5 linked regions of the Tribolium castaneum genome follow. The protein of the gene in region 1 interacts with the protein of each later gene in a biochemical or structural test. Links are inferred from orthologs where the notes say so. Each region holds a gene or a part of one and is shown in the gene's direction. Other genes may lie near its edges.

Region 1 (6,341 bases):
GGTTTTAAGGTTGTTGCTAGTTTGCGTAATTAAAGGTAGAAACGAGTGGTGGCGCTACGACTCACCTAGTCATAATATTTACTGAGGCAATACTTAAAATTCCGATTGGGGAACAATATACCATAAAAATTGTTTTAAATTGTAAAAATTACTCAACTGATGGAAAGAGATATTATATCAGATTAAAACAATAATATTGTTTTATATTTTAATTATACATTTTTATTATGATTTCTTTTCACTTTCCGTTTTTAAATCCCTTCACACGCAATCGTGACGCTGAAACAGATATTTTTGGTCGCAAGGTTACTGATAATCTTATCAATTTAAAGATCCCGAAGTGCTCTACAGATTCCTGCACAAATATTTTCCTTATGGTAAAACTACCGACAAGAGTAAACATCTCATAAAACACGAAATTGCATTATCCTGAACTTTAATATTAACCTTGATGAAATTTTTAATAACAGACTTCCGACAATAAAACTGTTTTTCAAGCATTTGCATTACGATCTTTTAGAACTCCCTTCAAATTGTTATGGGCATGTGACGTCACCGACCAATATTGCCAGTTTGGAGTATTAAACTGACGATAATGTAAATCTTTTTAGCAACGACTCAATTTTTTTCTAACAATTTTTATTAAAAAAAAAGAAAATGCGGAAAAAATTTCAGTTAATCTATGTGTCATTGTTTTACTAAACACATCTAAAAAAGTTGGCAATATTTATTTTGCATAAAGTGACTCATGGTACAGTTCCAGTCAGAAATTATGTCACGCGACTGTTACGCACGGGTGAAATTTACTGAACCAATATCAAGGTCACGAAAAATTTCAAATTGTGGATCAATTATGTAGAAATTTTAACTGAATAAAAAACTTCTAGTTATTAATTTGTTTTATTATTCCCATCACGCCTTCTGCATTCAAATTTTCAAAACCCTTGCTATTTATCGTGGTTCAAGTATCTCAAGACGCAATAAATACTTATTGATCCAACGCCTTGTTTCCACACCACCCTGTATATGCACCTTCCCGAATGCATTAATTGAATTAGACGCCAAGTTGCGCAGCGTGCTATGGCTGTCAATTTGCGAAAAAAAAGGCGATCGTTTTCGGACCCTCACACACCTCATGCCCCAAAGCCCTTCGCCGAACTGCTTCCCGGCCCCAATCAGGGGGCGTTTCCTTTGTTTTTCGTCGGTGCGCCACTGCCGCACCCGAGCAGCGTCGCCCCGAATCCGACGCATCACGCCGTTACTTGAACCACCGCGTGCACGGCTTGCTTGACGCATTGCAGGTACATATCGACCAATGGGAACGCAGCTCCGTACGAAAGTACGTTGTAAACAAGCCGCGCCCGACATTCAAACGTGGCGGACTCTCCGCGCGCAAAACTAGATCCGGGGCTTTGCGGCTTTGGGGGGCTCAATTTTGAAAAAGCGTCTTTGTGGGGGCTTGTGGCGGGTTCTCGCGAGGTTTGGGGGGGTTTTTGTGGCGCTGGGGGCCCGCGGGGGGCCTCGGTGGGGGCGGGCTGGGCGTAGGAATATTTACTCGTTGGTGTCGTAGCCGCACTATTGCGCTTTGGCGGTAGTGCTTTCGCAGCCCCTCCACCCTCCCATCCTAAACAAAACGAGAAAAGACACAGACGCAGACAGTTGGCTGGTGCACTTTGACGCGAAAAGTCGCAAGTGACAGTTGTTTTCGTGGCAAAGAATTGTTTAGAGTGCCCTTTTTACCGGAAATACAGCCATGGTAAGTGGGCCGGAGGCGGCCGAAGGGCGGCTTTGGGGCGCGGGGCTGCGGATGGTCGCGCTTCGCGCGGATATTTCTGGTTTGTGATGCTTTCGCAAATAGCTGTCAGTTGCCGTAAACCGGTAAATTGGTTTACCGCAATGCGGACAAATTCAATTTCGACGGCTATTTTCGACGGTATTGCTAAATTTCGACGCTGGGGACTTGTATCGATCTGTTGCTTGGGGTGTTTACTTTCTGATGGCTTGTAGGCTGACCAACTCACCGAGGAGCAGATCGCCGAGTTCAAAGAGGCTTTTTCGCTGTTCGACAAGGACGGCGATGGCACGATCACTACCAAAGAATTAGGAACTGTTATGAGATCACTAGGACAAAATCCCACGGAGGCAGAACTCCAGGATATGATCAATGAAGTAGATGCCGATGGTAAGATCAACTCGACTTCGATAAACAAACGACTGTTTTGACAGGGCTTTTTTCTATTGCCAACTTAACCGTGTGACCGTTAGGACCATCTGTTGCCAGTTTGATTATTTGCCTTCAACGTTTGTTTTATTAAGAAAAACGGAATGATGTAATTATTGCCAGATAAAACTTTATCGCTACATACTATTCAAAGTGTAACAGTTTGATCGGTTATTTTTTACCAACGTTGATAAACCGATAATGGACTGCATTGTTCTCAAATAGACTATACAATCGGTGATAAAATCGCAACTCTCGATAATCCCAATTAAAAATTCTTCATAGAAACAAACTTATCTTATCGCAAATACGTCATCGATATTTGGCTGTGACGGTTATTAATTAAATAGCAAACCCCAATCAAAAGTTTTTTCATCATAAAGTTGGTAACGAATTCAAAAAGTACGTTAATGACTAAACTTTGAGTAAGATGAGTAACTTATGTCCACAGCATGAGTAATTTCACCTTTCGGAAAAACACCTATGCATTGATTAGAACAATTTATCATTAAAAAAAACGTAGATAATTTCGACGAAAAGTAAAGAAATCGGTTCTTAAAAATATCGAATAAAACATCACTTTAATAATTTGACCCAGTGTTGGTTATAGGCCGCTGCTAGACACTAGAAAAATCGCCCATCTGTATGTAGATCAGCGTCGGTCGAATCGCATTAGCCATGAAATTACCCCGTGGCACCCAAGATAATTTGCGAAACAGCATTCATTTGTTATTCAATGACAGTTCGCACTCCTAAGCCAACGATGATGGTCCATAAAGGCTAAGATTACGCTATGAATTTTAATAGAGCGGACTAACTGTGTGAAGGAAAATGAAAATGCACAAGTATTGAATATTTCAGACGTGGATATTGTTTTAAAAAAGATAACGTTTGACTGAGTCGAGTTTGAACGGGAGAAAACCAATTTTTTCATGTTGCGGTTTTGTTTATCAAATAGTGACGGAAATTCCTGTTTTCTTAATTTATAACAATGAAGGCGTGAATGTTGACACGGATGCGTAGTGGCGCCGCCACTATACGAAGGGCTATAAATTTTTATAAATTGATTATTACTGCGCTCCCTGGAGACGCAAAGGTCGCAACTATTTGGAGAATTCTGGTGTGTTTTTCGGAGGATGTTATTTTCGTATTTATTGCTGTGGCAGCGCAATTTCGGGCCGTGTTCTTTGCAGTTTTAGTACCTTTTTAATTATCCTAAACTATCGAAGGATAAGTAAATTAGATTATTTTCCGTAATGCGATTCCAAAAATAACAATTCGATGTGGGATTTTTCTGGGTGACACAGTTTTTTGGGTGTTTAGGTAATGGTACAATCGATTTTCCTGAGTTCCTAACGATGATGGCCCGTAAAATGAAGGACACCGATAGTGAAGAAGAAATTCGCGAGGCATTCCGAGTATTCGACAAAGACGGCAACGGTTTCATTTCGGCAGCCGAATTGCGTCACGTGATGACAAACCTCGGTGAGAAGTTAACCGATGAAGAAGTCGATGAAATGATCCGAGAAGCTGATATAGACGGCGACGGTCAGGTCAATTACGAAGGTAATGTTTTTTCGGGTGTTTTGTGTGTTGTACATTTATCATTTTTGTCGGGTATAGTGTAGTAGGCTTGGGACGATCACGGGTCTTTGATTTTCGTTTGGGTTTTATGTGAATGTAGCTCTTTTTTTTTTGGTTTTATTTCGATATGTGTTCTAGGCCAGGAAGGTATGACTGGTAGTGTTCCTTTGCAGATTTCCGAGCTCTAGCTCTCATAGTTTTCAGTCGGTACTCAGCCACACATGCTTCGAGCTGGTCAGTTGTAGTCTTGCTTTGGGAATGTGCTTAGTGGCATGTTATTTTGTTACTGTTCTACCTATCACTGTCTTGAGCACTCTTTGACGATGTGTCTATTCGCTTTTTATGGTTAGAGTTGTTTTTGATTACCAACAGTGAAGCACATTTCCAAAAAACTTTGACTGCATCTTCATTATTGTCGTAGATACAATTAACAAAAACTAATTAAAACAATAAAAAAGTAATGTGCGCATTACGATTTCAGAAGTTTCTTGGCTAATACGAATGAAAATTATTCGTACCAGTAATAACGTTTCACTTATATCGATGTAGTGCACCCAACACGATTCTTTATTACGTTGGGATTATGTTGTGTTAGGTTTATTTTTTATTACTGAGGATCTTTTTAATTAATCTTGGTTTTTCTTTTCCTTTTTGATTACAGAGTTCGTTACTATGATGACTTCAAAATGAAGAGTAGAGCAGTTTGCATTTCAGCTTTCCATTGTTTCATCCCGGCCCATTATCTACAATTTCAACATCTTGAACTTTTTGCTTGGCTGCCGGGCCACTAAAGTGAAAAACTTAATCGTTATTTGATTTACAAGACAACTTTAATTAATAATAAATATTTATAAATTAATATAATTGTGTAAATTTTTGTAATATATTTGTTTGGAAGGTGCAACACCAAGCATCCTCTATACTGTTTCAACTTCTGTGCTACATGTCTAGTTGAGTCGTTCTCGTTATTCACAAAGTATGAAATTGTACTTATAAGTCGTTCTTTCGGTGTTAGTTTAGGGGATACACAGACTTAGAATACACTCAGAGTTTCATGTTTCATACTTTGTGATCCAAAAAAACATACATCTGTGCACTTAACTATAGTATGTATCCCCTTTGTTTTTATTATAAATGAGTCATTTGTTCAGTTGTCATCATCCCCAGATCTACTGTACTGTAGGTTTTACATTTTCAATAGGTAGGATTTTCCAGTGTATAACCAAATAGACACTTTTTTCGTCAGCCTTGTCATTTTTTATTGAACTGTTTTATTTATTTTATTTATAGATAAGGACTATCATCGGTTACAATGTGAAATTATTAGATGTTTAAATTTGAAATAAATGTGACTAAAAATTATTTATCTAGTGATTGTTTATCATCCCGTTATTAGATTATTACGGCTACATTACTATTACGATTTTTTATGTTAATACTTTTTCCTTATTTTAAAAATAAACAATTTAAAGCGATTTTCTGTTCTTGCCCAACAAACACCATAAAAAAGCAACGAACTGCCTTGACCGGCACTATCACATTTAATTAGCACTGAAAATGAGCGAGATAAAAATACAATATTAGCAAAATAGTGAGTGGTAAAAAAAAGAAAAAATTATAATAAACAATTTGCAAAAACGTAAATATTTTACCCGTTTAGCCGATCATATTGTAACAATATGACAAAAATTGCTTTAAAGGACTGTAGTTACGCTATCTGCCGGTAAGCCAAAAGAAAAACATCCTTAAAGAATAAAAATATGCATAAAAGAATAATTTAATCCAGCGTCCTTGAATGTTGGCCCATGATAAACGTTGAAAATGAATAATGACTATAATGAGGCGTTTTTTCATATTTTACTGCCCGATATGTAGACACGGACCGGCCAAGTTTTAATTAACTCTTGTTTCGCTTGATGAAAAATTCTCCCCTCGGCAAATCTATTGCCACCCCTCCTCACCCCTTAGTGATTAGCAGTAGGTCATCAGGTGCGCCACCACTGACCTACCGCGTGTGAGTAATAATTCCGCGCACCTTTTATAAATAGATGGATTCGTCCGAGTTGTTTCGCCGGATTCAAGTCTTCAGAAGTAGCGTCGTTAGCGTCGCGACGCCGTGACCGTGGATGCTACATCTCTAAAAATAGTGTCAGGTGTCGGCAATTACGTTCTTTACCTTAATGAGGCCTTATTTACGAATTGCCCGAATCAATTTGCCAAGGTAATATCGATTGATGATTTCATTTCGTTTGTAAAACATTGCGCCTGCCCTGCACATGTCGCTACATTTCAGACTGTTGTAAGAACCACCGTCACCATGAATCTGATGTTCCGGAAAAACTTCCGGGAGCAAAAAAGCGGCGTCGCGAGCAAAACTTCGAAAGCTTGTGCCAACAGACATGCGAGCAAGAGGGCCAGTCGGGAGCAGGGGTACACCCCCATGGAGGAGCACCACTATCGGACACATCTGTTCTTCAACCCGTCGAGATGTAGTTACGCTCAGGCGGCTGAAGACATGGACGGTACGCTTTATTCA
Region 2 (5,987 bases), about 5.8 Mb from region 1:
AAATTGCCGAACAGTACGGAGCGACCGACTTCCCAGTTTTGATGTATTTCGAAAGTGGGGTTGGGGGCGTATTTGAGGGCGACCTGGAAGAGGAGGAGGAAGTCCTCCAATGGCTTATCCAGCAACGAACCGAAGACCGAATCGAGTTAATTACAAGAGTCATGTTGGAAAACCTAGTCCAAGACACACAATACTTGGCTGTCTACTTCTACAAGCAGAATTGCCACATTTGTGAGCAGATTTTGGAAGATTTGGAAAAAATCGACGATGAGTGTGATGTCTACGGAATTCATTTGGTCCGGATTCAAGACCCGCAATTAGCGAAACGCTACAGTATCAAAACATTCCCTGCACTTGTCTATTTCAGAAACGGCAATCCGTTGCTGTTTGAAGGCGACCTCCAGAACGAAGACTCAGTGCTCGAATGGCTAATAGACGACGACAACCGCGAGCTTGCTGATGAGATCGAATCAGTCAATGAAAGAATGTTAACAAGACTGCTCAACGAGTCTCCATTTCTCGCAGTCTTCTTCTGTAAGCCGTGTTTTTGCCCCTTTTTGTTTACTGTCTTTTGGCTTGTAGACGATGAAGATTGTCCCGAATGCGACGAAATTCTGGAAAATTTGGAAGAAATCGACGGGGAAGCCGACATGTTCGGAATCGACTTTGTCAAAATATGCAGCGCTGAGGCCGCAGCTGAGCAAGGGTTGCACACGCTTCCCGCACTGATGTATTTCCGGAAGAAGACCCCGATGGTGTACGAAGGCGACTTGACCCAATCCGACAAAGTGCTCGACTGGCTGACCTCTCAAGACGTTTTCGAAATCAAAAATGAGATCGAAGAAGTGAACAAAAAAATGTTGGAGAAACTCTTGGAAGAGAACGAGTTCGTCACGGTGTTTTTCTGTTGGTAGTTTAGACAGTTTAAAGGCCACAATAACCAGCTGTTTCAGATGAAATTAATTCGGAAGAGAGCAAGGCAATTATGGAAAAGCTGGAGAATATTGACAGCGAGACGGACAACTTTGATATCACGTTTGTCAAGATGGCGGATCCGCGGTACGCCAGAAAATGGGGCGTGACGAATCTTCCCGCCATCGTGTACTTCCGAAGACGTTTCCCGAGCATATACCGCGGAGATATGCATTCCGAAGCTGATGTTTTGGAATGGTTGCGAAAGAATCGTTTCCGACAACCCGAACTGAACATTTTCATGTACGCGTTATTCGCCATTAGCATCGCTTTTGTCATTTACACAGCTTTTCTCCTCCAATGTTTCAAGACTCAACCGCAAGCTGTGGTCCCCCATCCCAAGCAGTCCTAAGTCTTGTATGAAAGTCGCGTGAAAGAAGTGTGGTCTTGAAGCATTATCAGCATCCTTGTATGAAGGGAACGTTAGATCAAGTCATTCTGGTTTAGTTTTTTATTTTTACTAATTGAATTCCCTTTGTTATAAGTTGTAATCCATTTTGTCATATCCTGGACCAAAGAAAACCATGATACATCACCACTGAAATGTTCATCTAGATAATTTAATTTGTGTACAGCGACTGTACAATCATTCCCAAGAGAATTTATGGACAGGAAAGTATAGATAAACGTATTAATATAGTTATCTACTTTTAGGTGAACATTGTAAATACTCTTGTAAATAAATAAATTAAGTTTACGTAAAACGATTTTTACTCAAGACATGATGACAAGTGTCACAAGTATCAAAATTTTTAGCAAATGTCTAAATCCCAGTCCAAATTCAAGCTTTGTGACCCCGCAAAAGCCTTAAAAGTGTGGTAAATCGCCCACCAATCGAAATCTCTTTGTATTACATTCGAACTCAAGCGCTTTCCATGTTGTTTCGCTGAGACGTGCGCACTCGGCGGACATTTTAATTCCCATTTAAAAATTCTTCGCTACTCGCGGTGTGTGGAACGGAAAGAGCAAACACAAACACAGTGCTGGGTCATATGTGCGCAAGGTGTTCGTCAAGGTGGTTTTATCGCAACTTTACGGTAGTTTGTTAATAAAACTAGGAGGATTTAGCGGAAAACAGGTAATACAATTTATTCTCTGATACTAGCGCTCGCTTAATTTTCAATTAAGGCAATTTCGGTTTGTCAAATTAAAAACCGTAGCTTTATCAGTGATAAGAGCACTTATTAAATTATTATAATCACAAGCCACGTTTCAGTTCACACAACACTATCACCTGTTATCAACGTATAAACCGTGCCTAAAATAGGTATGTCGAATTTCTTTTTTAAATTAGCGCTGTTACAGCCTGATTATTTCGTCGAAAATGCGAGATTCTGACGCTTTCTAGTAAGGGAAACAAAGCAAAGCTTCATTAGTTTATCGAATTTCAAAAAGGGGTACAGTTTGGCGCAATTCCGGTGACATTATTGTTGTATAACACTTCCGGTGACAAGATTACCGGAACTACACGTCTATAACATCCCCACGTTCATAAATAATGACCTTTCAAAAGTGAGGTTTCTACCTACGATAGACAACAATAGGGCGAGACCAGAATTCGAAATTCAACTCTTCAAAGAATCATACTTTATAACCGTGACATTTCAAGTGCTGGTGTTACAATTTGTTGTCTTTATTGTTCATTGTAATATGAGTCATTGAGTAATTATTGTTGCAAGAGTCTGCGAAAAGATCTGCAACAGTGTTATCGTTTCGTAACAGCGTTGCATTTTCACTTAAACTGTTTTGATTTTTTTCGATCGTATCTAATCTTGAGCAAACTTAAGATAACTGAATTTTTTCAAAAGAGCCTTCAAGGTTTTGAAGGGAATTCCAGCAGCATTGACTGAAGGTGAAGATATATATATTCAGCCTGATAGCTTTACTGGCTTAGTTCAGTGATCCCAAACCAACTGAAACGAGACTATCACGAAATGTTAAAAACTAGCACTTGACAATGAACTTAATAATTATTCTAATTTTTATGCTTCGACTAATTGAAGGAAGATGCATAGACGTGGCTCAATTTGCATTTAAATTATGCCCCATTTGCGTCGAAAGTGTGGAAAACTGAAGCTCTTAGTAACAGGAAGCGTTTATTTACAATTTCTTCTTAGAAAGCACATGTCGTACGGTTTGTCCCTCTGTTTATTCAATTAACATAATCAAAGTTGATGTAGCAAATAAATTACCGACGTAACATCTTGTTTAACAAATCATATTCAATTAGCGAGGGAGAAATTCGTCGAAATTTGTTGTTTTGTCAATCGAAAGTGTAGGCCTAGACCTTGACTATAAACACCGTATGATTAATTTTGAAGGCCTTGAACGGATGTTCCCATATTAGTGCGGTTTTGCTACAGTTGACTATTTCTCTAATCAAAAATTATTCTTCGTGACCAATCATCTGGTTGATTAATTTCCAGCAAAATTCGACTTTCGTATTGTTTTTGTTCGACAATAAAATAACGGAGCGAAAGATCAGTCATTGTAGTTACAATCAGGTCATTCTTTGAAAGTCTGTCAAGAAAAATAAGGAAGCAACAACGGTTACAGCGATTTTATGGTGAAAAGTAGCAACAGATTTGCATCGGTGAGATCTACAAACGACGTAAATTTAAAACGGATTGTAAAAAGTACATTAACTTATTCATTTCGAACTCATCCAGCGTGAATTTTCAAGAATGTGTAATTTGAAACTCCGTTAAACGAGATGAGCCAAGATTTAAAACAAAAAAAATACCAAAAATGTTCATTTTGCGCGAAAATTATTTGATTCACAGATATTTATAGTCTTGCATATCTGTAAGATGTTATCAGTGACAAGGCTTTATCAAAGTCTATCCACACATTTCAATAAAATTTAGTATTATCGATCGCTAATCAAAAACTGTACAACCTACCAACCAAAATTATTCTAGAAAAAAGGAAATTTTCACTTTCTTTTCTAAGTTTCTCTCTTAGAAACCAAAATATTTATTCGCGAATAAAATTTTACGCTACTTGACTGACTTAAAACAAACCATTGCATTTACAAATAGAGTCTCGTAAAACATATCAGTTGGAAAAAACAAACTAGATAACGTTTAATAACACTTAACATTGCCCCAATTTGACTCGATTTTTTTCGCTTCACAAATCCACCATCTGTTTGGTGTAAAAATTAAAACAGTTCTTTTACTACTTGTGACACCGTTTCAGCAAATTCCAATTTCTGAGAACCATATTCTGTTTTCAAAATTGCAGTAACAATTCTGTGAACGTTCACGTAACCTTGCCATTATCATGTTGCAACCGCAATTGGTTATAATTCTGGAAAAACACTTCCACTTTCTTAATCCAGCGGCCGAATAATCAATCAATCACAGTAATCTCAACAAATCATGTAATAAATTGTATTTTCACAAACTTCTCAATTATTGTTCTAAAAACCAAAGTTGTTCTCCGTTTGTGTTAATAACAAAAAATCTGGTAACTGCTAAAAGACATTAACAACTACAATGAATTTAAAAAATTGATGCTGATTTATGCCTAGTTAGTATCTGCCTTGATATTTGTTACCTAATCTAATTTAACCAAAAAAAATTGACTTTTTTAAAAATTTGTAAAATGCCTAAGAGATAAGATTTTAAAAGAATGTTCTACATTTTCCGACGTTTTTGAATGCCCCAGTTAATCTAATCATAATAAAACTTGCAATTTTTATCAAATTATCGTTTATTAATTTAATATATGTTTGCTTATAAGTAGCTGATATTAATCTAGACTGACGTACGACCCGTACGATAATCAATAAAGTTAAAAATTGAATAGATAAAACTTTACCCTTTCTTTAGTATTCCAGTTAGGTGTATTTTGGTTATAGAAAATTGTGTTAATTGAGTTCAAATTTCATATTATTTGACTTATCATTTTATTCTTTCATTAAAACTAAATTGGTTGTAGTTAGTTTCGTGGTTATAGATTTTTTCTCCCGTTACAACGTAAGAAGCAGTTGAACGTCTTCTTTAGTCGATTTCGACATAACGTCGCCTCATTCTAAATAATAAAGCCGCTTAAATTAAAACTTGAGGCAAATCTGCTCTTCTGTATCATCAAGTGGGTCACGAGTACCGTATCCCTGTATAACTGTACGTGGCATATGGTCTTTACTCAACAATTTTTACCGACACCGTTTCATCGGCATTGACAAAAACGTATTTTTAGAGTGAAACATGGACTCGGTTTGGGCTCGGGACCCTACCGAAGGGTTCATCCTTGCCCGAATTTCCGAACTTTTAGTAGAGGGTGCTGAAGTAATCCCCGTCAACTCGAAATTCCCCAAACGGGTCTTGCCTTTCAGCGACATTTTCAAAGCACAAGAAGATGACGTAAATAAAGACTACGATGACAACTGCGAAATGGTTTTCCTAAACGAAGGTTCACTCCTCAACAATATCCGTATCAGATATTACCAAAATAAAATCTACGTAAGTCCTTATCGCGCGTAAGCTCGCCGATAACAGCGAATTTTAGACCTACGTGGCAAACATCCTAATCGCCGTCAACCCCTACAAAGACATCCCCCAACTCTACTCCCCCCAGACAATCAAAAACTACCAAGGCAAATCTTTGGGCCAAATGCCACCCCACGTTTTCGCGATCGCCGACAAGGCTTTTCGCGATATGAAAACCCTGAAGCAATCCCAATCGATTATAGTTTCCGGAGAGTCAGGAGCTGGCAAAACCGAATCCACCAAACATCTCCTCAAATATCTCTGTGTCAATTGGGGGGCGCAAGCGGGTCCCATTGAACAGAAAATCCTCGACGCGAATCCAGTCCTTGAAGCTTTCGGTAACGCGAAAACAACGCGGAACAACAATAGTTCCCGTTTCGGGAAATTCATGGAAGTGCACTTCGATAAAAACTTCCACGTGGCTGGAGGACACATTTCCCACTACCTTCTGGAAAAGTCGCGGATTTGTTCGCCGCAAGGCGACGAACGCAGCTATCACATTTTTTACATGATGATGGC
Region 3 (6,256 bases), on another chromosome or scaffold:
AAGCCAAGCAACTTGCAGCGCGTGAAATGTTGGAGAAAATCAGGGAAACGTGTCCACAACTTGCCGAACAGTTTGCTGCAGAGTCGAACAGTATTTTGGCTGATAGTCATGAAGTGATCAAGAAATATAGTGAATTGTCAACGACTCTAGATGTTATGCCTAACAGGGCAGTCTTGATTGAGGACTATTCAACAGCTATTAAGAGGAGAATGGAGGACAAAAATGTGTGTTTTGAGGATTTTCAAAAGCAGTATAAATTGAAGGATAAGGAAGGATTAGATTATATTTTCGAGAAATTAGATATTAGATACCAAATAGATTTGTTTCAAGAGTCACCTCCAGTATATTGCGCTTTGTTTGGTTTAGATACTCCGTTTACTGTAATGGCTGTTGGAAGTAGTCAAGAAAATGCAATGGCAAACTTAGTTTTTGAGATATATAGGTTGTTAGAAATTTATATGACCAAGGGTGCCAAAGGGTAGTTCATAGTTATACAATAAATACTTTTGACTAAATGTGGAAATACTTTATGAAAATAAATCTAGCCGCTTTAATAACTACTGAGCACTTAGCTATACAATTTTTCGTTTATCATTATTTGCGCTTTCTGGCTTTTTTACAGTATGGCGGGAAATTTAAATGTGATACCTAGATGACTTAATTTGTATGGTCAAATTGTACTATTTGTTGTTTCATTAAACGTTTGGAAAAACTAATAAACTATGTTTTTATCACTTTTACACTTGAAAAATTTTTACTGTACAGGGCGTTGCATTTTGGATTTCCGAATAGGGGAAATCCGAAACTAAGACGTTTAGAGAAAAACGAGTGACACATTCTCGGGTCCGTTTTTTGGGATAATAATTTTGGTTAAAACCGCCTCTCGCTATAATTTTTTGTTTTCGACAAAAGTTGACATTTTAGCGAAATCTAAAAAAAATCATATCTTCCTTATTACAAAAGATTTACATTTGAAACAAAGACATAATACGGGCACTTTTTTACAGAGAATTTAATAAAGTTATCAGTGTTTTTTTTAATTATTCGTTTAGCTATAATAACAAAGTTTTATTTTTTTAAATATAAATCATAGTTGGCTATGACATTTTCGAAAAGCTTATTTTTTTCTGATCTGAAAACAATATAATTACAGTTTGATATTTTTATATACTTTTTATAAAAAGTATATTTAAAATATTTGAAAGTAGTTGGCTATGGTAAAAATTATTTCACATAAAATTTTGTGAACGGTTATTAAGTAAAAAATGGGAAATTATCAAAATAACCTATGTTATTTGATGTGTCACTATCATTTGATCACACTTTTTTATGATTTAGTAAAGTATAATTGAGGTGACGTTGATAATGTTATGTATTTTTTTACCGCAAATGGGATTTAATTTTGGTGTTTGGACTGACATTTTTTTGTAAAATAAAATTTTATTGATAGCCAATCATACAATTAATAAGATTGTTGTTTTTCCGACATTTCATGTTTAATTAGAAAATAGAATGACAATATAAGCTTGTCATTATAAATCTAAAAACAAATAATTTTCATTAAATACAAAAATTTAATCAAATTATAATTTATTATGCTGTTTAGTTGTTATGTTATTAGTGTTTAAAAATTATTAAATTGTAAATACTTGTTGGGTAATTTAGTTTTCATAGTTTTAATTGAAAATCCAAAATTTTTTCATGGCCTACTATAAAGGAAAAGCGAAATGTTATGTTTTTTTTAATATCTAAAAATAATGTATTACACAAATAGACATATCAAATCAGAAAAAAAAAGTTTTTCATAAATATCACAGCCGCCTATGACAATCATTTAAAAAAATAATACTTTATGTTATTACAGTTAAAGTACAGATCGATGCAGAATTAAATTCTCTACCATTTATTAAAATAAAAATTGTGGCATGTTATTTAAAAATTTTGAGTTATAGGTGTTTGAAGTTTCGGACTTAATCTAAAAAATTTGGGGGCAGCCAGCTTTTTTAGAAATTTGAAAACACCAAAGAGATTATCTAAACTTTCCCATGTAAATAAGCCAAAATAGATTTCAAAATTTAAAAAAATGGCAAAGTTATCGATTTTTGAATTGAAAGATGCAATTCAAGTAAATTTAGGTATAAAGAAAGCCGATGAAAACTCATTGAAAATAAACCGAGTAATCTAAAAACACAGTAAAAAACGTAGCTTTCCATTTAAAACAAGGAAATTAATTAACCACTTTCGGCAGTTTGTTCCATTCAAAATAATGCAAAATGCTGTTGCAAAATTCTGCTATTTCCCATTTCAGTTTATAGTAGAACTGCAACAGCGCATTTGAATTTTTGGGAGTGAAAGATAAAGCACAAATTGAGAGTTTCTGTAAAAGAAAAGAATTCTGTGTTAAACTAATGCCCAGCAACACGTTTTGAGCTAAGAAAAACTAGAGTTCCAATAAAGGAACTCTAAGAAAAACAAAAGTTTTTAATCTTCAACACAAAATTTGCGGTTTTTCTCTTATGAAGGGTGCTCCTGTGTAAGAAAGTTTGTTTGGCATTTCTCAATACGAAACGTCAGATTATTGTTAACAAATTTAAAGCACTTTTAAGTCTTATTGTGTCTAATTCGAAGAATAAAATGTATAGGCCGCGTTTTCGTGTAAATCGGTTCATTTTATTTCACCTTTCGTGGATGATAGATAAACCTCTCATTATCACCCAACTTTAAAAATCTACTCGGCAAAAAAGCGTTCGATTTACACTCAAACTCGGTAAATAAATAATTATTTTATATTGGTAGACAGGCATTAAAAATTGTATTTTTTAAAAAACAGGAAACTGCGCCACGATGTTTTCTCAGACGCTGCTAGATGCCGCTTCCGCTCGACATGTCTAAAATGTCATCCTCAAAATGAACTGCGGGGAGGTTCTGGGGGTGGCAAATACCATTAAATGTTTGAAATAAACCAGTATTTATAAATAAAAATAGTGTCACTTTGCGGTAACTCCACTTAAAAACCCAAAAACAATGGCAGGTGAAGCTAGTCATAAGAAAAAAGGTAAACTATCCCGTCAAGAATCAAACAGATCAGGTAAAGGTTCAGAAGTTGAAGACAGGCCTACGGCCGGTGCCAGCAACACCCAAGACAAAACTAGCGGAGGACTTCGAGTTTATAAAATAGTCGTCTTGGGAGACGGAGGCGTGGGAAAATCTGGTGAGAAAATTCCCCTCTTTTCTCACACATTCATTCATGAGGTGTGTTGTAGCTGTCACTCTCCAATTCGTAAACCACAGTTTCTTGGACTATCACGACCCGACCATAGGTAAATAACAAGCACTGCGAGCTGGGCGGCGAGTATGCGAAAAAACAACTGTTACAATTACAAACACCCTCGTCACAGATCACTCCGCGCAGTGGCGATGAGGGATAAGAGATTGTAACACGTGTTTTTTATTTTAAGCATCTTTTACGTTGTACATCTTAAGCCATTGGCAATTTTAAAAACATCTTTGTCTTAAATGATACATGAAAACGATTATTACACCGACAGAGTTCTCGCATTGTTTGTGCGAAGTTCAAGACAAAATTTAGAATAGAAAGAAGTAGAAATTTTTATTTTGTGAAAAATGATCAAAAATTTGACAGTTTTTCAGGTTTTTGGTGATTAAAGGAGTTCGGCTGGAAGCAATTACAAACTTCAAATTCAAACTTTTAAATTCTAATTTGTTCTAGACATTTTTAAGTTTAGCTATTGCGTAATCACCTATTTTCCGTTTTAAATAATATGCACTGTTACCAAACCTATATTCGGTTTGTTATTTTGGTAGTTCTATTTTAAGTATCAAATTATATTAAGGTTGTTAGATTTGGAGATCTTTTGAAAATAATTAGCGTTAATAGTTAATACTTAAAGATTTTTGAAGAGAAGATTCTGTGATGACTGGCGGTTAAACTTTAAAGGTATTTCTATTCAGAAACAATAATTAAAAAAAAACAATGTTTACGTTACTCTTAGAGACTACTGTAAAAATTTCATTAATTCCTGATGGAGAAGTATAAAAAATAAGGGTTGCTATACCTATAGTGTCCCATCTGCTAGAAAGCTCACGTTAGTAAGTAAAGTTATTAAAAAATATCTATTTTCAAATTTAGAGCTTAGAGAAAACCATTACAATTTTTTTATCACGAACTCCCGGACTATATGATTTATGTGGAAGTAAGATTTAAAAAAAAAGGAAAAGAGGCAGTAGCAACATCGGATGGACAAAACTTTAATGGGTTAAAAATTAAAGAGCTTCTAATTTGGAAAAAACTCACGTCCACGTGTTACTACTAACAAAACCAGATAAATCAATTTTATACTGCATTCCTCCAATTGATTTATTTATTTATTTTTCAAATAAAATATTAGATTTTTCCACGAGCCCGGGATGTCTCGAAAAAAATTCACATGAAACCATCGAGATAACCAATTTTTAATCCACGTTTTTTGTATCTTTTTTGTGTAACCGTTCTGAAACCACGTTGCTATGCTAACCAAAAAATGTCGAATTTTTCTCCACTAACGAACGAATTTGATACTTCCAATCAAGTATGAAGATCTCATATGCGGACTTGGTATTATAGTTATTGTTTGCTTTTACTAATCATTATTCAAATACAACCATTTTTTTAAATTCGTTGCTCTAAAAGTTTTAGTATTGAACAACTGCGCTTCCTAACGACATTAATGGAACTACCGAAGATGGGGGCGTTGGGCAAAAGTATGGAACCAAACGTTTTGTGTCTAAACTAAGTGCCTTACGAAAAAAACAATTAGTTTATCATCAAGTACTTTAAAAATGTGATGATGTTTTTTAATAATAAAATTTTTCGAAATTCCTTTTAGTTTTAGAGTCATTAAATTTATTTTTTTTTTTACAAATGACACCCCACCACGACGATTTTTTTGGTAAAAGACCATGCTCTAGAGATTACTTTTAATATTGTCTTTATACCAGTGGTTCTTTGAAAATAAATTATTAAAGTTGCATTCCGAGCTTGTTACGAAGGTTTTTCGAATTTGGCCGAAGTGGTTGTATCCATGGATGTCCATATTTGCGAAAATATTGAGGAATCAAATTACTCGAATAAAAACGTCCCTGGATGCTGCCACCTCTTCGGTCAAATTCGGAAAACCGTCGTAATGAGCTCGGAACGTAACTTTAATAATTTATTTAAAAAAAACACTGGTTAAAAAACAAAATTATTGAATTGGAAGTAATTTTTAAAGCATAATCTTTAATCAAAAAACTGCCGTTGTAGGGTGCCATTTGAAAAAAAAGTTTTTTTGAATAACTCGAAAACTTTCGAAAAAAAATTCTTGAAAAATGATCATTTTTAAAGTAGTTGATGATGTACTTAATTAGTTTTTTCGTATGGTGCATTGTTTAGGCACAAAACGCTTGGTTCTATAGTTTTACCTAACGCTGTATGTCGTATGTATGTTTCGTATTCTAAACTATGGTAATCCGTAACAGTGACAGATATTGCGGTAGATATTTTATCAGTTTTTAACAAATGTTTTCTGTTTTGCACAATAATTTTCGATTAGCTTGCACACGGTTAGAACTACTATGTGATAAGTATTACCAATGAAGGGCAGAGCAGTTGCCCTCCGAAAAATTAAAACTTGAACCATCAGTTCAAGTCAGTTTAAAACAAATTGTCTGTGTCTAAACTGGCACCAGTATTCACTCCAATCCCGGCAGCGTCATGAAGATTGAACGTGACGTCACCATCGACCAGGACTTGTTTTCAACCTCGGCTTTCTGCACATCCGGCGCGACAAACAACAATATCAACCGGTGGGCAAACACATGTTTTTATGTAAATAATATTATTTACATATGTGCGACATAATGTAACAGGCCAAACATTAATCTCGTCCTGAACTTGGATTACGATCCAAAATTTATTTACGCCCTAAATTCAGTACAAAAAAAATTAAAATATAACATCTCTAGTCACAGTACCTACTTTAGCAAAGACACGATTACACGGTACACATTTCAGTAAAAATAAACTATTTAAATACATAAAATTGATATTGTTGTTTACCACGTCGGATGTCCAGAAAGCCGAGATTGAAGACAAATCCTGATCGTTGGTTACGTGACTTTCAATGTTCATGACGGTGCCGGGATTTTTATTTTATTAGAGTTTTATTTATTAGAGTGCTTCAAAGTAGACAATGTAAATGCAATTCGTGTTATTTCC
Region 4 (5,431 bases), on another chromosome or scaffold:
AATATAATATTCTGAATTTATTTATTTATTTTTTTCAAGTTTCACCGCAAATACCAAATGAAATCACGCTCTGACAACGAGCCTCACATATTTGCCATCGCTGATAGTGCTTATCAGAACGCGCTTCACCACCACATTTCCCAGAAAATCGTTTTATCGGGAGAAAGTGGTTCTGGAAAAACGACGAATTTTTTCCACTTGCTAAATCATCTAATTTATCTCGGACAAAATGACAACATTAATCTCCAGAGAATCGTAAATGCAGTTAAATTAATTCATTCTCTAACACACGCTTTGACGCCAATCAATAATTATTCCACTAGATGCGTCTTTAAAGTTGATATTAAGTTCGGAAACACAGGGAAAGTCAGTGGTGCTATTTTCAACGTATTTCAATTAGAAAAATGGAGAGTTTCTTCAACTGATAGGTGGGTATGTTGCTATTGAAATTCGGGTACTGATCATAGGTTTTGATAGTGTGCAAGGTACATTTTATTTCTTATATTCTGTATATGAAGGATTAAAAATAAATAAAAAATTGGAGAAATATTTATTAAATTCCGATTTTGAATACAAATATTTGAAGAAATGTGAAGACACAAATGATGAAGTGAAAGTTGATTTAATTGACTTTAAACAGATGTTAAAATTTTTTGAAGACTTTGAGTTTAATGATTCCGAAATAGATACGATATTATCAATAACGTCTGCTATCCTAATTTTGGGTGAAATGTCTTTTGTGGAAGCCGATTTGGAGAGCGGAGATAAGGAATGCGTTGAAAAAATTGCTCAGTTACTACAAATTGATCCTTGCAAATTTCATTGGGCTTTAGCCAATTACTGTCTAATCAAGAAAGATGTTATAATTAGGAAAAAAAATACAGAAGACGAAGCAAAGAGTGTACGAGATGCGTTGGCTAATAATTTGTATTTAAGACTAGTTGATTACATTGTCAACACAATTAATAACAGATTAAGTGCGGGACGAAAAATATTGTAATTTATTCAAGCTTTTTTTTTGCTTTATAATTTATTGTTCTTCTAGTGGAGAAACATATTCAGTTCAAATCCTTGATTATTTTGGCTTTGAGTGTTTTAAAGAGAATTACTTGTCACAGCTTTTCGTCAATTGCTTCAATGAACAAATGCATTATTATTACACACAACGAAACTTTTATTGGGAATATTTGGACATGAAGGACGAAGATTTGAATTTTAATACTTCATCAAATTATTATGACAACAAATCGTGCCTGGATGAATTGTTGGGTAAACCCGAAGGTGTTTTCTCGATAATTGACGAAGTCTCTAAAATGAACCAGAATGAAAAACACGTTATCAATTTTATTGAAAACAGTGACTTGAAGTTTGTAAAAGTTGTGGGAAACTTAGATTTTGCAGTTGCTCATTATACGGGAACTGTAACTTACAAAGGATGCGATATATGTGAGAAAAACAGAGATTTCCTTCCGGCTGAAGTGATTGAAACTCTTCGTTTGTCCGACAATCCAACTGTAAAGTTACTTTTTACAAATAAACTAAATCGAACTGGAAATTTAATAGTTGACGCACCTGATAGGTCAAAATATAAATTTACTTCGAAGAAACTGACACATAATCAATATTCCCAAATTAAGCACTTAACCACGTCCCTGAGGAAATTTAAAGCACTTGGTGTGGAACTGCTGAAAGACTTGTCAAAAGGATGCACTCATTTTGTTCGTTGTGTAAGAACAGACCTGCATCAGGTTCCAAAAAATTTCGACTGCGGATTAGTTAAGCAACAAATACGGGCCCTAGAAGTGGTCGAAACTGCAAAATTGAGGCAAAACGGCTACTCCTATCGAACCTCTTTTCACGAGTTTTTAAGACGATATAAATTTCTTGCTTTCGATTTCAATGAAAACGTTGAAACTACTAAAGAAAACTGTCGGCTGCTTTTGATTCGTCTCGGAGTCGAAGGCTGGGATGTTGGAAAATCTAAAGTTTTTCTCAAGTATTACGTTGAAGAATATCTGACTAGACTATTTGAAACGCAAGTTAAGAAAATTATTAAAATACAGAGCATTTTAAGGAGGTTTCTGGCGAAGTGTTTGGTTACCAAGCACCTCCAAAACAAAGGAGAAAAATGCAGTATGTATCATTGGATAATTGAATAATTAAAAAAACCGTTTCAGTTCTAGGACATGTGCAGGCAGAGAAATACAGAATGACTGAAGAAGAAGCCGCGATCATAATACAGAAAGGTTTGTAAATACATTAAAACGCGCTTCTTCCACAACTGTTTAATAGCTTACAGAGAATCAACTGTAAAAAAGTCTTACCAAGACTTTGCAGAAGATTACAAAATTCTAGATGAAGAAACGTGTGGTTTTATTCGAAAATTTGCGCTCAAATGGAAAAATAATACAGTGTTTCGTATATTATTTCTTTATAAATCTGTAAGACATCAAGATTGTTTTAATTTTTCTCAACAGGTATCGAGTAGTATCTGTGATTGAAAGATAATAATAATTTTTTTCTTAAAATTGTAGGTTCATTTATATAACATTGGCATTTTTTACGAACTTGAAGAGCTTAATCAAGCAATTTCGTTAGACAATATCGACTCAAAAGCAAACATTTCTGTTTGGTTGGGAGAATATTCGGTAGCTGTACAAAAAATGCCTTTTCGTCTTGATGAAATACCTTTTTGTGATACCAGCGAAATGTCAAACTTTGTGTTGAATTACGAGTTAATTTTAATATGTAAGATTAATTAATCACCTGTTAACTTATTTTTTTAGGCTATTGGATGAAAAAAATGATTCATGGGATCTACCATATCGTTGGAGAAATTTGATTTCTTCGAAGTTTGACCAGGCGGTGCAAACTAAAATTCCCATTGCTTCACCATTTGCTCGAGATTCAATACAAGAAGAGGAAAATGTTAACCGTAAGAATACTAAAAACAAAACAGTAGACGACAATTTTTTACACAATAAGGAAATGTTAAAAAAAACTATGAAAGAAGAGAAGGAAACGAAAACTTTTTCCAAAAATGAAGAAAAAATTAATTTTAATTCAAAGCTAGCTAATGAAGATTTCGATTACATAAAATCACCGTTGACAAAAAAGCTCAAGAGAATAGATCCTGTAACAGAATTGAAGCAAATTGGGCAAAAAACTGCTTCAGAAAACGAACCACCTTTTAATTTTCAGGGGATGTTAAGAAAAACTAACTTCAAAAAAGAAGTCAAAATAGAGGATAATAATGTAAAAGTTTTACCATATTCTTTAAGGAAAACTGGAATAAATGGAGTAGAGGGTAAAACTTACGAAAGCGCCGAAGCCAGAAATAATCGTAATATAAACAATATTCAATATACTTGTGACAGGAAAAAGATAAAAATACACTTGGCACCGGGTGTTGTTTTAGAAGGTTTTGAAGTAGAAATTTAAGACTTTTTCGCTATTATATTCTGATTATATTTATAGTGCACACCAAAAGTCTAGGATCCAATATAATAATTTTTTTTGGCGATGTATTTATGAAAAAAATCAAATGCAAAAGCAAAAGGATTTTTTTGACGATTTTTTAAATTTTGTGTACCACACTTTTGATGCGCGTCAAATAAATTTGTTTCAATATTTATGTTAACCCTATGTAGATCTCAAATAAAAACATGTAAAATTGTAAACTTAAATGTTAAAAATAAACAAAATAAAAAAAAATAAATATTTATTTAATTTCAAGCAAATGTAGACAATATTAAAAATTTTTTTAAATCACAATATTGCTATTTTTTTGTATTTTTGGTAAAAGCAAAAAAGCATTCACTCAGATCTAGTTTTTGACAATTTGTATGTTCTATACACAGGATTTTTAAAAGTAGAAGTGGCTTGTCGATAAAGAGGATTGTCGTTTCGATGCCACTGCATTTTTTGCCTCTCATTTTCAAACTTTGCGTACTCTTGCCGGTCGTGAACGGTGGTGCAGACTTTCCAGGTAAGTAACAAAATCACTCCTGCTAATAAAACCGACCCAATAACACCCAAGATCCAAGCTACGATGAGAACTAAGTAAAAAACACAAGTATAACAAATACTACTTACCTAAAATATTAGGTGGCCCTCGACAAATTTTTTCCTTTTCAGCTGTGACTTTTAAATTTTTTTCGTTAACATATTCATATTGAAACGCAAAAGTGCAGTCGTTTTCGTCAACTAAAGTACACGTTTTAACCTGCTCGTCGTGACTGTTCTCCAACTTGTCGACAGCTTCGCTTTGGAAGAAAGTGCAATTGCTTTGACACTCTTCTTCGTTGAAAACCCCGCTTTTGTAAATCTGGCACTCAACACAAGGGCGCAATTCCTCGCACCTCTGGCCTTCGCAAGTTGGGCACTCGTCGCAGTACTTCCCCGAATATCTCACTTCCTCGTCGAAACACTCGCACTTGCCGCAGTTGCAGTTTCCATGTCCGTTGCAAACGAGATTGTTATCTGGCTTAACACAGCTGTTGTCGCTGTCTGGACACTCGCAGGCGTCTCCCGTCCATCCAGCTTGACACTTACAAATCCCCCCGCACTCGCAGGACCCTCGCTGCGAGCACAGCCTTCCATTCACCCTTTTGCAACTGTAATTGTCGCAGTCGCAATACTTGCCGAAGATTTTCTCGTCGGGATTGCTCCGCTGGTAGCACTGGCACTGGCCGCATCTGCAAAAACCCAAGCCGGAACAAATTCTTGTGTCGTTTTTTGAGGCCTTGCACAGAGAGACGTCGGCGGAATCCGAGGTTTTCTTGTTACACTCGCACGTTTTTCCAAAGAAGCCCGGATCGCAGTCGCAGACGCCACAGCGGAGCGCTCCGGAATTTGAGCACTTTTGCGGATCCAACGCCTGAGAGCTGCAATCACAGTCGCAGAGTACCTCCAAGTCGATGACAATGCTCTCGTCTAGTGCTTCGGGTTTAACGGTTATTACGTGCTTGTTTGAGCCTTTGGTGCACTGCAGTGGTTTGATTATGGCAGTGAAGTTAACGATTTCGCCAATGTGGATGTTTGTGCAGCCGTTTATCTTGGGGTGCGAACAAGTTGAAGTTATCTTAACTTCAATGTCGCTCGAACTGTTCGAAGAAATCGTCACGGAATCAACAATTTTCTACAAACATAAAATAAAATGACCAAAAGTACGATCTACTGCTTACATTATAATTGTCCAGTACTAGTTTAATGACGTTCTCCGACCGTTCGTCCAAAACTCCAATATTGGAATTTTCGATTGATTCGGACAGTTTTTTATAAACGTCCACAACCCGTTTCTTGTTAACAATTGCAAAAACAATATTTATGTTATTATCCTTAGCTACATGATTTATTTGCGACACCGATGGGTAGTCAAAAGCCAGGTCATGAGTATAAGTGTTATTTTCCATGTAGCAACGAGCGTCAT
Region 5 (6,023 bases), on another chromosome or scaffold:
CGGCTCATTTTCTGTATTATACTAACTTTTCACGAGATTTAAAATTTTGAATTATTTTGCTTAAAATTTGCTTAATACACTTACTTACCTTCAAAAAGGTGGAAAAATTATTTTTTTTTAAACTTGTCCTATTATAGTTTTTTGGACTTTTATATGCTTTTACATCCCTCTAGAGTTGTTAAAAGTCCACAAAAAGTGAAATATTCGATTTTTTTATGTTTGATTTTTTCAATTTTCGTCGTAATTTTTGTCGATTTTGGGTACCCGGAACATGTGTCGAGCAATAGCTCCGGAACTATCAGAGATAATCCCATGAAGTGTATTATCGTTGGAAAGCTCTTTAGATTATCTATTTTTTTCAAAAAAGATTAATGTTCTCTGACTTATAGTTTTCGAGCAAATTGCTGACAAATGCAAAAATTGGTGAAATTTTAAAAAATTCATAACTAAAAAACTATTCGGAATTTGGTAATTTTCTCGATGCCAATCGATTCCCCGGATCATTTTGCATAGATATGGATCAAAATAGTTCCACATTTTAAAATAGTTTAACCGTAAATGAGAAAATAAAAAAATTAAAAAAAAGTTAACACCCCCCCCTTAAAATCGGTCAATTTTAAAAATGTCTCAAAGTCAAATAAAACCTATTCTATCTTATAGATTTTGATGTGCTCTTTCTGATGGAAAAAAGCGTTTTCTCCTAGTTCTTTTAGTTTGGCCGTAATCGGCGTATGAAAATTGAATTTTTTTGCGAGATATCGCCTTGAGTCCTATGCCATTTTGTAGAGTTTTTTATTCCGGTTGTCCACGATTTTTCCGTTTTTCGATAACTCTAATAGTTTGGCCGTAATTGGCGGTTGAAAATTGAAAAAAAGTGAAAATAGAAACATTTTTTGCGTTTTTCTCGGAAACTGTAAGACTTAGAGCAACGAGCAAAAAACCATCTGATAGCGCTTAATTTTATTTATTTTTTCGACCAAACCCGGAGCCCCTCCGGGCAACGGTTCTGGCTACAGAAGCGATCAAAGTTTTTCACTAAAAAAATTCATAAAAAAAAAACTAAAAGTCGTAGAGCATTGCGGTTGCAGTTTTTTTAAATCACTAAAGCAAAGTTTTATGCACTTGAAAACGGCTCCTCGGTTTAAACTTGTTCTTGTACAATCTCTCATTTTGCGCAAAACAGACTAAGAGAATTACCAAAAAAAACACCAAATTAAGTCGAAATTAAGCACATTTTTCTAGTCAAAAAATCAGAAATTTCGACCTAAATAGTGTAATTTTTCATTTTTCAATTTAATTACTTGACATCGTGAGGCAATGGAAGAGTGGCTCCTCTATCCAGCAACAGCTTAATAATCTCGTAATTATTTTTATGCCCGGCTAAGACCAGAGGTGTAATATCAGGTGTAAAAGTGGCCGAACACCGTTCGACTTTTTCCCAACTGTACAAATCGCCAACTTGATGCGTCCTCTCCTCCCAATCTAAAAGCATTTCAACCGCTTCCACAAATTCCTCATTTATTGCATGAAGCAATCCATCCTGCAATTAAAATTTCGCAGCACTAAAAATAAAACTTATTATTACTTGCGATTACTTTAACGTCAATCTGCGACTCAAGGAGAAGCTTCACCAGCTCGATATTTCCATTCTCAATTGCTATAACGAACGCTGAGCGATTTAGAGCATCGATGCAGTTTATATCAAACTCTTGATCGCCCTCACCACCACCATATTCCTCAATTATCCTATTATTTTTTTCGCAATTAATTTCTTGTTTATTTTTAAAAGCAAAAAACTTAGAAAATGGAATACAAAAACAAAATTAAAAAACTCTAAAACAGCAAAGAAAAAACAAAAAAAATGGAAAACTGAAATTATAATTAATTAAAAGACCATCAACCATCTTTATTGTCATGTATACTACATTTTTTCAATAAGTAATTTAATAGAAAAAAATTAGTGTTAAAATAATATTTTATCTACCCTTGTTAAAGTGCAATTTTACCCACTCAAAACAACTGACAATGAAATATGCTATAAAAAATTACCTGCGAACTGTAGCACAATCACCCCTTTCGGCATGAAGCAAAAACGATTTTTCCACCTGACTTAACGCCCTTTCATTATTACAATCAGATCCAAACATTTTCAATCACTTGTCGCATCGAGAATACTTTCAAGTTTGTATTGACCCTCACTATTAATTGAATTAAAATGCGGGACAAAGCCAAGAGGATTACTCCCAGGAGCGTTATATAATAGGAGTTTTGAGTTGGAAAAAATCACCAAAAATTCCTTATTGGCGCAATCAATTTTCTTAGTTGCTTTATTGCATTTAAACCAATAGTAATTTTACCAAAAAGTCGGTTAGTGTAATGCACTCGTTTGGTGTAATCTAATTTAATAAAGACAATAATGTGATTAGACCATAGTTATAAGCGCTTACAAGATTATTACTAACTTATTACTCGCCCTATTTTTCTAGAGAGTAATGTGATCGCCTAAATTTGTGCAAAATGGGGGATTCGGTAAGTTTCATTAAATTTTCCCCTAATTAATTGTCTTGTGATAGGTTGATGTTGAGGCTAAAGTCACACGCAAGACCCTAATCATGCCCAACTTGCCCAAGTCACTTTCAATTGAAGAAAAAAAATATTTATTGGCCATTGAACGTGGAGACATGGCAAATGTTCGCCGGTAATGGAATAAATAATAACCACCAACACAATTTAATAAGTAACACGATTATTTCTTCCAGAATGTTGCAAAAAGCCCACCGGAAAAAATCGTTTGATATTAATTGTGTGGATAGTCTAGGACGTGGTGCTTTATCGATTGCCATCGACCAAGAGCATCTCGAAATGGTGGAACTCCTGGTGATCATGGGAGTGGAAACTAGAGATGCTCTTCTGCATGCTATTCACGTAGAGTTTGTGGAAGCTGTTGAGCTTTTGTTGGAACACGAGGAGTTGATCCACAAAGATGGGGAGCCTTATGTAAGTTTTTGTTAACTTTATTTTGCTTCATTTGAGCAAATATTTTGCAGAGTTGGCAAAAAGTTGACATCAACACTGCCATGTTCACACCTGATATCACTCCCTTGACTTTGGCCGCCCATCGAAATAATTACGAAATTTTGAAAATTTTGTTAGACAGAGGAGCGACTATTCCGATGCCACATGATATCAAGTACGACCATAAATAAAAAAATAAATAAAAATAACTAAAAATCGTAGATGTGGATGTGATGAATGTATCAAAGAATCTGAAGAGGATTATTTACGACACTCGTTAGCGAGACTAAACGAGTACAAAGCTCTGGCAAGTCCGTCTTTGATTGCACTTTCGTCAAGTGATCCGATTTTAACAGCGTTTCAATTGTCGTGGGAATTGAGGAATCTGGCGTTTGCTGAACCGGTAAGTAGATAGACAATTTTTATTCATTCATCATGCAATAACTCCGGAACTATAAAACTTAGACTAAAAGTTTTAGAATAAAAAAATTCATAACTCAAAAACTAAAAGAGCAATGCGGTTTGTTCCATTGAATTCAGCGGCTCATTTTCTGTATAAAACCAACTTTCAACGAGATCTGACATTTTAAAATTTTTTGCAAAAAATTAAAATAGGCAATTTCTATAATGAAAAATTTTATTCAATAAAAAAATTCATAACTCAAAAACTAAAAGTCGTAGAGCTATGCGGTTTGTTCCAATGAATTCAGCGGCTCATTTTCTGTATTATACCAACTTTTCACGAGATTTAAAATTTTGAATTTTTTTGCTTAAAATTTCCTGAGTTATACACTTACCTTCATGGTGAAAAAAAATTTTTTAACTCGTTCTATCATTCTTTTATGGACTTTTATGAGCCTGTACATCCCTCTAGAGTTGTTAAAAGTCCACAAAAAGTCCATATGTTCGATTTTTTGATGTTTGATTTTTTCAATTTTCGTCGCAATTTTTGTCGATTTTGGGTACCCGGAACATTTGTCGAGCAATAGCTCCGGAACTATCAGAGATAACCCCATGAAGTGTATTATCGTTGGAAAGCTCTTTAGATTATCTATTTTTTTCAAAAAAGATTATTGTTCTCCGACTTATAGTTTTCGAGCAAATTGCTGATAAATGCAAAAATTGGTAAAATTTTAAAAAATTCATAACTAAGAAACTATTCGGAATTTGGTAATTTTCTCGATGCCAATCGATTCCCCGGATCATTTTACACAGTTCCACTTTATCAAATGCTTAATTCCAGGAATGTAAATCCGAATACATGGACCTGCGCCGCCAATGCCAACAATTCGCTGTCGACCTCCTCCACCAAACTCGCAGCTCCCAAGAACTAGCGTTCATCCTCAACCACGACCCAGCCGCCCCACCTTACGAAGAAGGCGAACACATGAAACTTGCACGCCTCGAACTCGCCATTCAATACAAACAAAAAAAAGTATTCCTCAATTAAACATCACTCAAAAATTCTAACAAAAAAAAAGTTCGTAGCCCATCCAAACATCCAACAACTCTTAGCCGCCATCTGGTACGAAGGCGTTCCCGGATTTCGGCGCAAATCCTCAACCCAAAAAATCATGATCATTGTCAAAGTGGCCGTTTTATTCCCCTTCTATTGCATGCTATACATGATAACACCCGGAACGAAAACCGGGAAACTAATGAGAAAACCCTTCATGAAATTCTTAATTCATGCCTCGTCCTATTTGTTCTTTTTGTGTCAGTTTTTACGTTCATCATTGGCCAAAAATTTAAACTTTGTTTCAGTTTTGTTAATCCTGGTGTCTCAACGAGCCGAAGACCAAATCATCGAATTGTTCGGAACCGAAAGCATGAAACAAAACCTACAGGAAAAGTACCGAAAACAAAGGGGAAACCCCCCAACTATCCTAGAATATGTTGTCTTGATTTATGTTATTGGGTTCATTTTCGAGGAAACTCACGAGATTTATGTGGAAGGAATGAAATCGTATTTGCGTAACTTGTGGAATTTTATTGATTTTACGCGAAATTTTCTTTATACGGCCGTTTTTTTGTTACGTGTGGCTGCCTATATCCAGCAAACTTCCGAAATTGAAAATGACCCTTTTACGGCATATATCAGGCGAGAGGAGTGGCAAGCTTTCGATCCGCAATTGATTGCTGAGGGGCTTTTCGCAGCCGCAAATATTTTCAGGTAATTGTGAAAAAAAACTACTGCGTTGAGAATTTTTTTGCAAAAAATGAAGCTTCTAGGTTTCTTTTTATATGTGTTGAAAATAATTCTTTATTATAATAAGAAGAGGTAAAAAAATGTTTTTTTAATTTTTTTTCAGTGCCTTAAAACTGGTCCATTTGTTCTCCATCAACCCACATTTGGGGCCGTTGCAAATATCGCTTGGAAGAATGGTCATAGACATTGTAAAATTCTTCTTTATTTACACTCTGGTGCTGTTTGCTTTTGCCTGCGGTTTGAACCAACTCTTGTGGTACTTTTCGGATTTGGAAAAGAAGAAATGTTACCATTTACCAAGTGGTGAAGCCGATTTTGATAATGCGGCCGATTCGTGCATGAAGTGGCGCCGTTTCGCTAAGTAATTTTTTTATTTATTTTTTCCTTTAAAAAAATCGCAAAAGTCGACGTAATTTGATAGTTCCTGCCCTTGTTTCTAATAAATAAAATTAAAGAAATTAATTGCTATTTTAGCGTTTTTGAGTCGTCCCAGTCGCTTTTCTGGGCCAGCTTCGGTATGGTGGACCTCGCCAGTTTTGAGTTAACCGGAATCAAAACTTACACGAGATTTTGGGGCCTTTTAATGTTCGGTTCTTACTCGGTGATCAATGTCATCGTTTTATTGAACCTTCTAATAGCCATGATGTCAAACTCGTATGCAATGATCGACGAACATTCAGACACCGAATGGAAATTTGCACGAACCAAACTATGGATGAGCTATTTCGAAGAAAGCGCTACTTTACCGTCACCCTTCAACATCTTCCCCAAACCCAAACACTTGTTCAAACTTTTGGGC

What was found.
Region 2: the proteins of Cam (region 1) and jar form a complex in vitro, tested with the Drosophila melanogaster proteins (2 studies listed by BioGRID). The link is inferred for Tribolium castaneum from reciprocal best matches to the Drosophila melanogaster genes Cam and jar.
Region 3: the proteins of Cam (region 1) and GTP-binding protein Rit1 interact in a test that uses a peptide from one of them, tested with the Drosophila melanogaster proteins (2 studies listed by BioGRID, with this or other methods). The link is inferred for Tribolium castaneum from reciprocal best matches to the Drosophila melanogaster genes Cam and Ric.
Region 4: the proteins of Cam (region 1) and ninaC interact in a test that uses a peptide from one of them, tested with the Drosophila melanogaster proteins (2 studies listed by BioGRID, with this or other methods). The link is inferred for Tribolium castaneum from reciprocal best matches to the Drosophila melanogaster genes Cam and ninaC.
Region 5: the proteins of Cam (region 1) and trpl interact in a test that uses a peptide from one of them, tested with the Drosophila melanogaster proteins (2 studies listed by BioGRID). The link is inferred for Tribolium castaneum from reciprocal best matches to the Drosophila melanogaster genes Cam and trpl.

What each region holds. Positions count from the first base shown.
Region 1 is NC_087397.1:1,842,467-1,848,807, reverse strand, and holds Cam (calmodulin), read left to right. Parts: upstream 1-1,596; 5' UTR 1,597-1,753; coding exon 1,754-1,756; intron 1,757-2,007; coding exon 2,008-2,182; intron 2,183-3,544; coding exon 3,545-3,787; intron 3,788-4,466; coding exon 4,467-4,495; 3' UTR 4,496-5,167; downstream 5,168-6,341. Other genes in the region: uncharacterized protein LOC660922, read left to right, coding at 6,123-6,327. UniProt on the Drosophila melanogaster protein: Calmodulin mediates the control of a large number of enzymes, ion channels and other proteins by Ca(2+). Among the enzymes to be stimulated by the calmodulin-Ca(2+) complex are a number of protein kinases and phosphatases.
Region 2 is NC_087397.1:7,631,070-7,637,056, forward strand, and holds the start of jar (myosin heavy chain 95F), read left to right. Parts: upstream 1-1,804; 5' UTR 1,805-2,050; intron 2,051-2,182; exon of another isoform or gene 2,183-2,239; intron 2,240-5,178; 5' UTR 5,179-5,186; coding exon 5,187-5,441; intron 5,442-5,487; coding exon 5,488-5,987. Other genes in the region: uncharacterized protein hlk, read left to right, coding at 1-534, 583-906, 954-1,324. UniProt on the Drosophila melanogaster protein: Myosin is a protein that binds to actin and has ATPase activity that is activated by actin. Together CLIP-190 and jar may coordinate the interaction between the actin and microtubule cytoskeleton.
Region 3 is NC_087396.1:9,919,713-9,925,968, reverse strand, and holds the start of GTP-binding protein Rit1, read left to right. Parts: upstream 1-2,870; 5' UTR 2,871-3,024; coding exon 3,025-3,211; intron 3,212-3,263; coding exon 3,264-3,320; intron 3,321-6,256. Other genes in the region: R2D2 protein, read left to right, coding at 1-482.
Region 4 is NC_087398.1:9,792,513-9,797,943, reverse strand, and holds the end of ninaC (neither inactivation nor afterpotential protein C), read left to right. Parts: intron 1-39; coding exon 40-428; intron 429-477; coding exon 478-996; intron 997-1,045; coding exon 1,046-2,133; intron 2,134-2,177; coding exon 2,178-2,246; intron 2,247-2,292; coding exon 2,293-2,477; intron 2,478-2,534; coding exon 2,535-2,734; intron 2,735-2,786; coding exon 2,787-3,421; coding exon of another isoform or gene 3,422-3,441; exon of another isoform or gene 3,442-3,477; coding exon 3,478-3,581; 3' UTR 3,582-3,699; downstream 3,700-5,431. Other genes in the region: integrin beta-PS, read right to left, coding at 3,817-4,046, 4,096-5,140, 5,187-5,431. UniProt on the Drosophila melanogaster protein: Required for photoreceptor cell function. The ninaC proteins combines putative serine/threonine-protein kinase and myosin activities. Essential for the expression and stability of the rtp protein in the photoreceptors.
Region 5 is NC_087402.1:543,798-549,820, forward strand, and holds the start of trpl (transient-receptor-potential-like protein), read left to right. Parts: upstream 1-2,370; 5' UTR 2,371-2,517; coding exon 2,518-2,529; intron 2,530-2,573; coding exon 2,574-2,698; intron 2,699-2,759; coding exon 2,760-2,997; intron 2,998-3,047; coding exon 3,048-3,190; intron 3,191-3,237; coding exon 3,238-3,418; intron 3,419-4,258; coding exon 4,259-4,450; intron 4,451-4,496; coding exon 4,497-4,731; intron 4,732-4,779; coding exon 4,780-5,188; intron 5,189-5,327; coding exon 5,328-5,585; intron 5,586-5,698; coding exon 5,699-6,023. Other genes in the region: trp (transient receptor potential protein), read right to left, coding at 1,302-1,540, 1,596-1,746, 2,050-2,147. UniProt on the Drosophila melanogaster protein: A light-sensitive calcium channel that is required for inositide-mediated Ca(2+) entry in the retina during phospholipase C (PLC)-mediated phototransduction. Required for vision in the dark and in dim light. Binds calmodulin.